3 linked regions of the Tribolium castaneum genome follow. The protein of the gene in region 3 interacts with the protein of the main gene of each other region in a pairwise test. Links are inferred from orthologs where the notes say so. Each region holds a gene or a part of one and is shown on either strand. Other genes may lie near its edges. The genes, in order: Ras85D, Rap1 and Raf.

What was found.
Region 1: the proteins of Raf (region 3) and Ras85D interact in a two-hybrid assay, tested with the Drosophila melanogaster proteins (2 studies listed by BioGRID). The link is inferred for Tribolium castaneum from reciprocal best matches to the Drosophila melanogaster genes Raf and Ras85D.
Region 2: the proteins of Raf (region 3) and Rap1 interact in a two-hybrid assay, tested with the Drosophila melanogaster proteins (2 studies listed by BioGRID). The link is inferred for Tribolium castaneum from reciprocal best matches to the Drosophila melanogaster genes Raf and Rap1.

What each region holds. Positions count from the first base shown.
Region 1 is NC_087397.1:5,188,437-5,192,416, forward strand, and holds Ras85D (ras-like protein 1), read right to left. Parts: upstream 2,828-3,980; 5' UTR 2,590-2,827; coding exon 2,194-2,589; intron 1,701-2,193; coding exon 1,515-1,700; 3' UTR 471-1,514; downstream 1-470. Other genes in the region: DENN domain-containing protein Crag, read left to right, coding at 40-355; uncharacterized protein LOC663430, read left to right, coding at 3,375-3,980. UniProt on the Drosophila melanogaster protein: Ras proteins bind GDP/GTP and possess intrinsic GTPase activity. Plays a role in eye development by regulating cell growth, survival of postmitotic ommatidial cells and differentiation of photoreceptor cells.
Region 2 is NC_087403.1:4,584,597-4,588,772, reverse strand, and holds the start of Rap1 (ras-related protein Rap1), read right to left. Parts: upstream 2,802-4,176; 5' UTR 2,609-2,801; intron 2,495-2,608; exon of another isoform or gene 2,349-2,494; intron 2,124-2,348; exon of another isoform or gene 2,120-2,123; 5' UTR 2,094-2,119; coding exon 1,911-2,093; intron 1,857-1,910; coding exon 1,728-1,856; intron 709-1,727; coding exon 556-708; intron 498-555; coding exon 408-497; 3' UTR 1-407. UniProt on the Drosophila melanogaster protein: Ras proteins bind GDP/GTP and possess intrinsic GTPase activity. Plays a role in photoreceptor cell determination.
Region 3 is NC_087400.1:7,671,130-7,675,458, reverse strand, and holds the end of Raf (raf homolog serine/threonine-protein kinase Raf), read right to left. Parts: intron 1,813-4,329; coding exon 487-1,812; 3' UTR 347-486; downstream 1-346.

The sequences.
Region 1 (3,980 bases), on a different chromosome or scaffold from region 3:
TGGTTGGGGTGGATTGGTTTAGTGGCTGGGTTGTTGCAGGTTTATGCAGAAAGTGATCGTCAGTATTCGGCTCAACGACCTGGCGGAGCCTTTGAAGAACTTGGCGTCGGAGCGTGAGTCACACGGTCCGCATCAGGGGAAAAACCGGATTTCGATTTATCGCGACATCTTGTTTCTGGCGTGTAAAGCGCTGGGGAGGAGTCATATCGACTTGAATGCGTTTGATAAACAATACAGTGCGGCTTATTATCGTGCGACTGAAAGGAATAATAGACAGTTTGAGCCCCAAGATAAACCTCTGAGTACGATCGCGTTGTATTGCCGTCAATACTTCCGCCCACTATCTTTGCCTTGATCAGTTTGTTTGTGTTCTTTTTGTTTAATTAATAAGGTGCACTGCTATATTTTAACTGTAGGTTTTTTCTTGGGTCTATAGTTTTCAATAAAGTTGTTGAATAAAACGAGGTGTGTAAATATTTAACATTTTATTAATAAGAGAATTTTAGTAGACATATCTATAAACTAAATTGCTACATATATTTTTATTTTGTTTTTTCTTCTTTTTGTATAATATATGAAGGCAAAATTAAAACTAGATTAGTAGAACATTAAGAAAAATCTCATATGAAAAAACGGGGAATAACATGTCAAGACCAAGATTAAGCTTAAACTTGGTTATATTTCTTTAACGATTGATCATTGCTTGAAGTTAACTATACTTTATGCCAGAATACGAGGAATAAAACGAAAACAAAACGAACTGGTTCAATTGGGAGGCAGATGAGCGATTAGTTTATTCATCGTATCCAGAAACATGACAAAAAATTCTCATTAAAGAGGATAACTACATTAATATCAACAAAAAACGAAGAGAACGAGTTCTCTTTGAGGCACATACAAATTTGTGCGCAAACTATACATGATATGCTATTCCTGAGATATTACATAATTAAAAGGAAATCCGTTAGAAACAATAATCTTAATATCAACTTTTCTCGCCAAAAATGTTGCGCAACTGTACAAATTTCTCGTCAGAACTAAATAAAACTATCAATAAAATATACATCACATTCAGAATATACATATAAAATTTTAATATCTGACATATATAAAACCGTGTATTTATCCTCTTTAAAACAAAAATTTGTGCAAAGAGACGAAAAATGTTTCCGAAGCTTTTTCAATATAATATCTAAAAAGTATTTACAGCAAATTTAAGAATCGACAAGTAAGAATATACTGAGCAGAAAAGACACACTTGAACTAAAAGCAAAACGTGGTACATAAAAAAACTTCTTTCATAAGCTTCCTCTTACACATTTTCGCACACTGGAATTATGGAAACACGCACACGAATTGTCAAATGATATAACAATCGGGGGAGAAGAGTGAAGCGTCGCTCCCCCCTATTACTTTTTACACTATCACACTTTCACAGAGGAGAAAAATGCGAAGCAAAACACGATCCCATTTTTTTAAATTTTTTTGCTGGTCATCGAAACGATGAGTCTGTCTTAAAGGATGGTGCATCGCAACTTAAAAGGAACACGACCGTGGCCGCCGATGTACCTGTGCTGGCGTTTACCGCTTCTCGTTTTGTCCTTACGTATTTCTCTAACTAACGTGTAAAATGCCTCGTCCACACCCATCCTGGTCTTCGCCGACGTCTCCACGAACGGGATCCCGTACTGCCGCGCCACCTAAACAAAATTCGCATTTTTATAATGAAGAAATATCGAGAAAAAAGCTATTTTATGTGATATTTTGAGTAGATCGAAGATTACTTTAACTCCTGCTAGAAAGAAAAAATCAAGATACACTCGCCCAACCATGAGTCACCCTGTATCAGTTGCTAAGCAACAGCGAGAGTCAAATTACAGGAACCTACTATCCAGGAAGGTGGATAAATGGGAAAAACAAGTGGAATGTTCTTAAATAAACCACTCGGCTCAGATAATAATAAGATTTGGTAGAAATATTTACTTAATTTCTTTCCTGTGATATAAACATATTAGTGAGTCATCAGCATCAATCATTTGTTTTTGCATTCCTCTTTCACCAACACCTATTGACGTATTTTGAATGAGGAAACCTACTCAATTGCTATAAATGTGTGATTTTTGTTGTCTTAAAAACACGTTAGAACAATTGGTTTGTTTAGGCGCCAGGTGTCTGGTTTAGTGAGAATTTTACCTCTCTGGCTTGGTTCATGTCTACAGCCCACGAAGTGAGGTCGCATTTGTTTCCTACGAGTACCATTGGTACGACTTCGGCATCTTTAACCCTTTTAATTTGTTCCCTGTATGTTCCAATGTCTTCGAAACTTTTAGCTGAATTAACGGCGAAAACCAAAAGGAAACCTTCCCCTGTCCTCATGTACTGGTCTCGCATGGCACTGTATTCTTCCTGTCCTGCCGTATCCAAAATATCCAGTAAACACGTTTCCCCATCGATGACTACTTGTTTTCGATAGGAGTCTTCAATGGTAGGGTCGTATTCGTCGACGAAGTGATTTTGGATTAATTGTATGGTCAAAGCTGATTTGCCGACACCACCTGCTCCAACTACTACTAGTTTGTATTCAGTCATTTTATGTAGAAAATACCAAAACGGCTAAGCAAACGAAAATACCAAGAAGCACACGGTTTTTAATTTTTTTTATTAATTTTTGCAGGCTATGCAGGTCTTCTTATTCGTTATCCCAGCATAATAAAATCAACACAGCACACATTTAAACTGAAGCAATTAAGAACACTCGTATGCCCAGTAAATTACTCTAATTAATTGTAATCAAGAACGAAAGAGTAACAAAAGTTATCAAGACCGTCAAATGCACTACTAAACAATGCTGCCAACACACCTTCAGCTTCACAACCCACCCATCATAGCATCACCACAGACGTAAACAACGTCAACCACTCTTTTGTACCCCAAACGCCTAGAAACGACGCACCATAACATGGTCTAAACCCCTCACGAACAAATTTTATTGCATAGAATCCACAAAAACGTGAGTTATACGATAGGTTCGAATTTTTATTCGTTGTCAAAGTCGAGAAGGGTCTCTCTATTTTGCCCACCTCTGTGAGCATTGTGTAGTGTGGCCAACGGCCCAAATCCCCTAAAGCCAATATGTCATCAGATGACAAAGATAAAAAATATTCGTAAAGAATTAATTTTAATGTTATTAATTACTCGAAGTTGATTTTCTGCAAGCAGGACGAATCAAAACCGCGCCTTTCCTTTACTTAACGATGTAACTTCTGTGTTGTTAGCTCCTGAAATTCGGAAAAGTGTCCCAGTTGTGTAAGGTTAAGGTGAGTAATCTCCTTGAAAAAATTGTCATGTAAGGCGATCCCCCGACAGTTGTGACAATGTCGAACAAACAGCAAGAAACCCCCGGCGGTTCCATGGACAACGTCCGAGTGAAGATATCCGAAAAGTACAAGCCCCCTCCACGGATAGGCCTGGCAATGTCCTACGCACAAAGACTCACTTTAAACAAGCAAATCCAAGATACGATCCCGCATTACGAGTTTGTTTTAGAAAAGACTGTAATAGAGAAAATGAAGGAGTGGAGGACCGCGCGATCTGTGATGTTCCAGCAGTTAAACGAGAGACTAGAGAAAGCGAGAGAGGAGAAAAAGCGGCAAGACGAGCAGACCGATTATCAGCTAGAAGAAGAGATCGAAGTTTCAAGCCCTAGTCAATGTTACCAACAAAACCAATCAATGTTAATGCCTGTCAAAACCTACTCCACTGTCCTGACCCCCGTCTCGTCCGGGAGCCAGACGGACAAAAGTCCGTTCAATATCTCCGACTTCGAGGCGGACACTTCGAGCCCCTTCGACAACATGGAGCTAAAGTCAATCAATGATTTGGAAGAGCTAGCGCAAGTTTTAAAAGGAGAAGAATCTAAACCCAACTACTCAACGCCCGCTTATCCCATGGTGGGCCCCAGCAACTACACCTACAACATT
Region 2 (4,176 bases), on a different chromosome or scaffold from region 3:
AACCTGTTAACTAGGCTTATTCTATGTAGGAATATAAAACACCCTAAAACGCTGTGGTCAGAGAAGTATTGTCCCGTCACTAGTCTTGGCTCACTGATTCACACATCGCTATCCCTATTTGACACCACAAAATTGGCAGTAGATTTCAAAATACTCTATCACTAAATAGAATTGCATCTAGAGTCAATAACAACCTTGATTTTGGAGAAATTTAACTGACATATATTTTATAATTAATTACAAATACAAATACTTAAATATTTAATAAAAAGAATATACAGGACTTTAACTACCCTTCACTGGAAGAAGCTCTCCACGTCCGCACTTGCCTTCACGCTTACACACTTTGTCTTACAATTGTCTTTGAAATCATTAAATGTACTTTTTGGTTCCAAATCATTACATTTTTATAGAAGCACACAAATCGGTTTCTTTTTCTGCTTTTGTTTTTTCTCAGGTGATTTTTTGTTGATTTGTCGAACTAGATCATAAAATATCTAAAACAATACACAGCGTTAAAACACTGCACAATCCGACACGCAGCACAATACTCACATCAACAACATTTATTTTAGCTTTGGCAGAGGTTTCCATGAAGGCACAGTTGAACTGGCGCGATAGGTTGTTTCCTTGTTCTTTGCCTACCACTCTTTCCTCTTCCAGATCACACTTATTTCCCACTAACACCATCGGAACATCATCGGTGTCCTGACAAACAAAAACAAAACTCTACAACTGACCCTAACTAGCTCATTCACATAACACTTTTTGTATTTTGCACCGCAATTCAAACTAATTTTGGTGATGCACGATTGCACAACTTTATTAAAAATTTCTTGTTCAAAAAACTAAGTTATTAAAAAAACAAACAAGATATTTTTATAGAATTGTATGCTGGCCAAAAATACCAAACTATGCACTCTTTCTTTTAATGAAGAGAAGAAAAATGTAAACTTGTTGAACAGTGTAATAAATAAGTAAAAAATAATCAAATAAAAACAGAAAAATAGATGTAACAATCAATTTAGCGATAACAACTCCCACTGTTACGAAGAAAAAGTGGCCCATGGTAATAATCGAGAATTAATAATTTTCATTGTATGAAAACAACTAAATACTAAATAAAATGCCAGTTAGTTACGCAGTTTACGAAAAAAATTAGATAATTACTGACGCGAAAAAGTGGTACACAAAATATGGAAGCATTAGCCGGAAGTTGCCTGTATATTTGCATTATCAGTAGATTATATTCTGTTTATCATTAAACGAAGCTTTTATGTAAATTTTGTCATGTAAAATAAAATAGGTGCTGATCAATGACCTCTACACATGTGCAGATGTAAAAAACGTAATAATAAGAGTTATGAGTGGTAAAAGTATTGCTTACATGTGTGAAGTGAACCTGAAGGAGTTAAAAATATAAAACAACGACGTGTTAATAGGTGGAAGGGTGGAAATGAGTAATAAAGCAGGTCAACTTTTCCAATATGTAGATTAGAAACGTAACATAAATAGTGATCAATCTCATGTTGACCTTGGGTTTTATTTTGATAATGAATGTAACATTGATATGGATTGATACATATGCAATAAATTCGGTTTTTGTCGCAAATTTTAGCATCTAAAAGAGCGTGTTTACGTGTGACGTGAACTAAATAGTGACCTTAGAGGCAATTAGTCATCGGTTTTAAAGTGTGTGTAATTAATTGCAATTAAATTGAATGTACCTTGACTCTGAGAATTTGTTCCCGGAGGTCTTGTAGATCATTAAATGTTGATTGTGCTGTAATTGAATAAACCAAAACAAAACCTTGCCCGTTTTTCATATATAAATCCCTCATCGCCGTGAATTGCTCCTAAAACAATTTTTCGAAATGCAGTGTTTATGAGAGGCGGAATGTGGGACATACTGTGCCTGCTGTGTCTAAAATTTCAAGCATGCACTGTTGCCCATCGACTTCGACTTGTTTCCTATAGCTATCTTCAATAGTAGGGTCGTATTTCTCGACGAAGATTCCTTGTACAAATTGCACGGTGAGTGCCGATTTCCCTACACCCCCGGACCCCAAAACGACGATCTTGTATTCACGCATTTTCCCAGTTGCACAAAAACTTCAGTCTATCTGTAACGAAAATCGAGTGAAGATAAATCGCCGAATTCCGGGCGGTTGTGAGTAAGCGAAACTACGAAAGCGGCCTAATCTCGGTGGTTAACCACAACCCAACAGGATGCTAGCGCACATGGAGCAGACACCTAGTGATCAATCCATGCAGATTTGCAAACAATTCTACGAATCGGGGCTAATTAGGCGGGATTTGCGCCCCCTGTCACAACTCACGATACATACATTGGGTGTCCAGCTCCTGGGGCCACCGCGGTGCCGCTTCCGGTCACAGGTTCGTCCACTGCACTCCGTTTTCGGTTTTAACGTCAGAACGGCCCGAAACCACTTCAATTTACACTGTCATGGCTCAACGCTTCAACAAATACTCACTAGGTGAAACTATTTCAGTTTTTTACGGCATTGCCTTTTCAAGGATATGCTCATACTCTCAAGGGTGCTCTGGGAGGAGTTGGGCGTGATTTACATGAAAATGGGAAACTTACCGTGGGCTAAACACCGTTATTTCAGGATCGGGCGATGCCGTTGGTAGTTGATGGTAGGTGTATTAGCTTTAGCTATAGATATAGCGTATAGCTGGAGCTGCTGGCAATGGCAATTACTCTGCTCCCTGCTCCCCCTTCACCCCTTCGTTTCACCAAGCGCATGCCACCATGCCGCACCCGAGACAAGAACGGTCGATAAGACAGGAAAACGCAACGAGAGTTCCACACTCGCAACAGAGAGGCCACCACCAACACCAAAGCCACAGACCAGCACTTCCCAAAAGTTTTGTTACATAATTCCAGAATTCATATCTTTTTTATTATATAATAAATAAACTCAAAAATCGAAAACTTGTTATTATTTTTGAACAAACCCTTTATAAATCAAAATCCTTTGAAGGATGTATCCACCATTACAACAGAAACACCAATTCCCAAAAAAGTTTGGTTACGTAATTAAAAAAAATAATATATCTTTTTAATTATACAATAACTCTGAGATATATTTCCACCATCACAAGAAAAACAGCAATTCCCAAAATACTAATTACATAAATTATCTTATTAAATGAATCTCAAATCAATGAATATTAATAAATATTAATCTACCAGTCGTATTATTAAAAAAAAAAACAAGTTAACCTTGTACCTCCAAAACCAATTGAAGAAAAAATTTAGAGTTTTGAAATTTCGCAAAAAAAAATCTTCATAAATGATCGTATTTTTAAAATATTTACTAATGTACTAATTAGTTTTTTCGTAAAATGCATAGCTTAGGCACAAAACGTGTTCAATTAAAAATTAAAGACGTAACACCTCGAAAAACCGGCTTCTCATAAATTATATTTAGGGTATAAATTCGAGATGTATAGAATAAATGATTAATACCATGCGATCATTTAAATTTATAGAGGAGGAAGTAGGCAGTTTTTTTCTTTGTATTTGATAAACTGGTGCAAATTAAGAGAAAAATATGTATCCTAACTGAATATTACTATTCGAAATTTTATTATTTGTCCCTTCAGCTCGATCAGTATGTTAAAAATCTATTACAGCATACTCTAATGATAAATTCAAATGATTACGTGGTATTTAATAACAATCAGACGTTTACTTACCTTTTTTGTAAAGACAGTCTTTTTTAAATCCCTCAGTTTTATAGACAAAATTTTTAGACTAGTCTGATTTTAAATAAAAAACAAATTATGTAAAAACCTATTTGACAATAATGTCAGTGCCCAAACAAGCTTTACGGTAAAAAATATTGCAAACCTGCTTGGATGTGAGCTCCCGCAAACAGATCACTCGTTCACAAATTTTTTGTGAAAGGAAATGTCAAGAAACAACCCTTATTTATGTGTTTTTAAACGCCAAGCGAAACGACTTTAATAAAGTAATTCTTTGTATAAAATAAATAACTCATTTCTGCTTTAATTAATTTCGTAGTATCGCTTAATATTTCTGGCTTAATCAAGGTAAGAATGAATACAGTTATGTTTAATAAAAATTGCAAGAAGGAAATTCCTCGTATCGTAAAATATGTGTTCATTAAAAGGATTGGAATCTCG
Region 3 (4,329 bases):
TCCTAATGATCAGTCAGAAAATCGTATTTACTGTTGCGACAAACATTATTCAACATGTTTTTAATGGGGAGACAGGAAATAATCCAAATAAGAAAAAACAATCACTACAGTTTTATGAACTTATTTAATTTGAAACTTAAATTCTGTACCCTGGTCCAAAACCAGGAATACGAAATAAAATTGAATCGAAAATTTTATCAGTTTTTTTTCGGATTTCAACAAAAAGTTTCCAAAGTCTTGACTTTTCAGTCCAGTCAAAGGTTGGAACACTGAATTTGGAAAGCAAAGATAGATTTTCAGAATCTTCGAATTTCGTAGGATGGGATGGAAATAAGTAAACGCAGTATATTTTTTTAAGAATTTATTTAATACGAAAACAAAACAATATTTAAATTTAAATACTTGACAATAACTTAATGATAACCTCTACTCAAGCCGTATCACGCACTCTCACTCGTCCTAAACGTCCCTCTTGGCGCCCTCCCCTCAGATATTACCCGTTCCTCCCGAATAAAAAAAACTCGACGGTCCGAACGCCACCGGTGTTTTCGGACTAGCACACGGATAAATAAAATCATCAGACTGGATCTGCGTCCGATTCATGTTCGGTTCGGACGCCGATCTGTTAATTTTCGGATGACTCCTCAAAAGTCCCTCCAACGAGGCATGAATCTGCCTGAAAAGCGGTCTCTCGTCCCGATTGAACTTGATACAGTCTTCAGTGAGTCGTCTTAAAGCTTTGGGTGTGTCGGAGCGTAGTTTACTCATGTCTGGTTTGAGGTACCCCCTCCCCACCATGAACAGGATTTGGTCCTTGTTGTTGATGTGGGAGTAGGGCAATTGCATTGCCAACATCTCGAACATAACGATCCCGAACGCGTAAACGTCCGACTGGAAGCTGTACGGGTTGTCCTCCTGCATCCGGATCACTTCTGGCGCCATCCAGAGGATGCTCCCCGTCGGCTGGTGGAACTGCTTGGAGCCCGACCAACGGATCTTGGCCGTGGCTAAGCCGAAATCGCCGATTTTGACGGTTAGGTCATCGTGTAGGAAAATATTATTCGATTTGAGATCTCGATGGATGATATTTTTCGCATGGAGGTAGTCCATTCCTTGTGCCGTTTGTCTCCCGATTTCGATCAAAGTAAAAAGCGCGAATTTCGTCTCGTGCACGTGGAGATGCTTGTACAAGCTCGAACTCTCGCACCATTGCGTCACGATCGCCAACTGCGGCTTACTAACACACCCCATGAACAATAAAATGTTCACGTGTCGCGTTTTGCGCAGTACTGCCACCTCGTTCTTGAAGGCTTGCAGTTGTGCCAACGTTGGTATTTTAACGTTGAGCGTCTTGACAGCGACCGGGCCGTGCCAATGGGCCTTGTAGACCGTGCCGAAGGAGCCCGAGCCGACCCGATGGCCGACGAGGATCTCGTCGGCGGGGATCTCCCAATCCTCGATGCTCTCGCGAGGGGCGAGGAGGGGCTTGCTCTCGTCGGCGGAGCGAGCACGGGGTCGGCGCGGCTGGAGGGAGCCGGTGGGCGAGGCCTGGGTGCTGTGGTAGTGGGGGAGGCCGTCGTCGATGCCGCCCCGGGTCAGACTGAGGGACTTGGGGCAGTCGTCGCCGGGGCCCTTCACGTTGTTGAGGCAGACGTTGGGGGCGGAGCTGGAGCGGTCGTGGTGGCCGAGGGTGCCAGGGTGGCGCGGCTGGCGGGAGAGCCCCAGGCCGGCCTGACCTGGGTGCAGGATGCCCGCGCTGAAGTCCGGAGAGCGGGCGAGGAGCGCCCGGTAGTAGGCGTCCGTCATACGAACCTGGGGAAGCGAGATATTTTTGGTTCGACGTCAAAACGCAAGGGATGGGAGAAAATGCAGCAAATCATTCCGAAAAGCAAAATTTTGCATTCCATTTCTTTATTTTACTTTGGATAATGCCACAGACTAGTCCACGTTTATTTAGTAAATTCGGCAATCATCCAACTTCCGATAAATATTTCCAAAACAAAAAAAGTCCAGGGAGAATCAGGAATTTTGCGAGATTCAAATAGTGAATGTTACGACACTTTCAAAAATAACTCCACATTGTTTAATTGCGTAGGAAAAAACTTCTAAATTAAGCCAAATTCAAAAAAATTACAAAAACCTAGTCAGGGATTTTGTAAAGGACGAATTCCGAAAAAGCGAACAATTTTTCAAAAAAATTAAAGAGAAATTCAAACTTCCAAAGACGTAAAGTAAAAAGAAAACACTAGAAGTTAAAACAAACAAAAATTGTATTGAGAAGAATCTCCAAAAAATGCGAATATTCTCGTCATACAAATCCAAATGTAACATTTGGAACATTTTGGAAAACAATAAAACACAATGCATTTTCTTATCTAAAGTTTATTGCATGATTTTCATGTATTTGAAACATTCCATGGCTTTATCACCACCGATTGATATCTAAATTGATGCCGATATTAACTTTGAATTTATTTTATAAAAAATAAAGAAAATGCGTAATTTATTATTGTTTAACTTAGATTTATTAATACAGGGTGCTCAAAAACTGGCGCACCAACTCAGTGGTACGTTATTGAGAAGCAAGTGCAGATTACGGGAAAAATGTTGAAAAAATTGCTAAAGTTATATTTTAAAAAATCTGGAGCTACAAACTTATTGTGTTAACTTCTTTAGTTTTCATTATTTTTTTATGTTTTTATGTTTCACACCAGGTAATCGTTCCGTAACAAAACGATGAATAATTATTTTAAAATTTACTATAAGATTTTAGCAGTTTTTTTAATTTAAAAAAATTAAATTTCATCCAAAAAATCACAATCTGTAGATGTGCCAACACTGGGAATTATTTCCTAGGAAACCGTTTCAAAAATAATTTATTTTTATTGCGATCATGACTGTTAGACAACGTTGCCACATATCATTTACCTAAAATTAGTTATTTATCAATAACTTTAATACAAAGAATTTTTTTACTACTTTTACCTTTATATGTAACCACTTATCTACCACACACCATTGAGTTGGTGCGCCAGTTTTTGAGCACGCTGTATATTTTCAAATATGCCTGACTGAAGAGAGAGAGAGAAAAAACAAGGATGAATTACAAGAAAATACAAAGAAAAGTCCAGTAGGAAGAATAGAAATAACCAATGAAATTTCCCAAAGAATTTCATGTCACGAAAGTGTTTTATTTTGTTTCAACTTTTCCAATTTTTTTTACCGTGTTTTCTTTTTTTTTCTGTCACATTAAAATGAAGTAAACACACTTTTTTATTTTCATATTGCATAGCTACATACCAATCTAGAGTAAATTTAACTCGGATTTATAATCTCGTGCTGCCAATTAGGAAAATTTTAATGAATCAAATTAATACAGCTTTCAGTTTTTTGAATTTTTGCACATTAAAATGCAGAAATGAAATAAAGACACTTTTTATGTCAATACTGCATAGCTACATAACAATCTAGAGTAAATTTAACTCAGATTTATAAACTCGTGCTGCTAATTAGGAACATTTTAATGAATCAAATTAATACAGCTTTCAGTTTGATATTTTTTCCATCAACATGTGCAACTAGAACATTCAACTAAGTATGTTACGTATTTTTGAAAATGTCATACAAATTACTAAAACAACAGTAGATTTGCGATTATTATTTGTCGTCGTTACCTTTTGCAATACGAGAAGTATTTTCTCGCGACGTTATTTTAATCATTTTGCGAATGTTCGTAAACAAACTGGATCGTTGAATTCACAGCAATTTGCAGTAATTAGTCAACCGACACCTATGCGCTCTGGCTTTATTCATGCTCAAATAAACACGGCTACGATGAATCTTATGCCTTTTCAATCCAGCTGTTTACCGTTTTTAATAAAACAAACTAATTTCTTGATTCGCCAGATTTATGCGCTTCACTTATAGTGCGTTAATAATAACAACTTTTAAAAGTTAATAAGGATATTTAAGCTAGTGTTGAAAAACTTCCATTGCAATCTTGTAAAAGACGATTACTTAAAGCAAAATATACAGCTGGAATATAAATCATAACTTTGATTTAAGGCGATTTTGGTAAAAATTCCCGAAGCAGGTCAATTTTTATGTTTCCTTGCCTACTATTTGATGCATATGGTTTTTGTTTATCTGCTGTCAGAAATGCACAGCCACCTCTAACTTCTTGTTCAAATGTTAATGGTATGCCAAGTGACACCTCGTATGAAAGCCTTTTTCGCAAGCAATACAACGCACTATTTCTTTTTTAAATTTTTTCAAAGCATACGTGATAAAAAATAAAAACCAATTTTATAAGTTGAACATTATTTAATG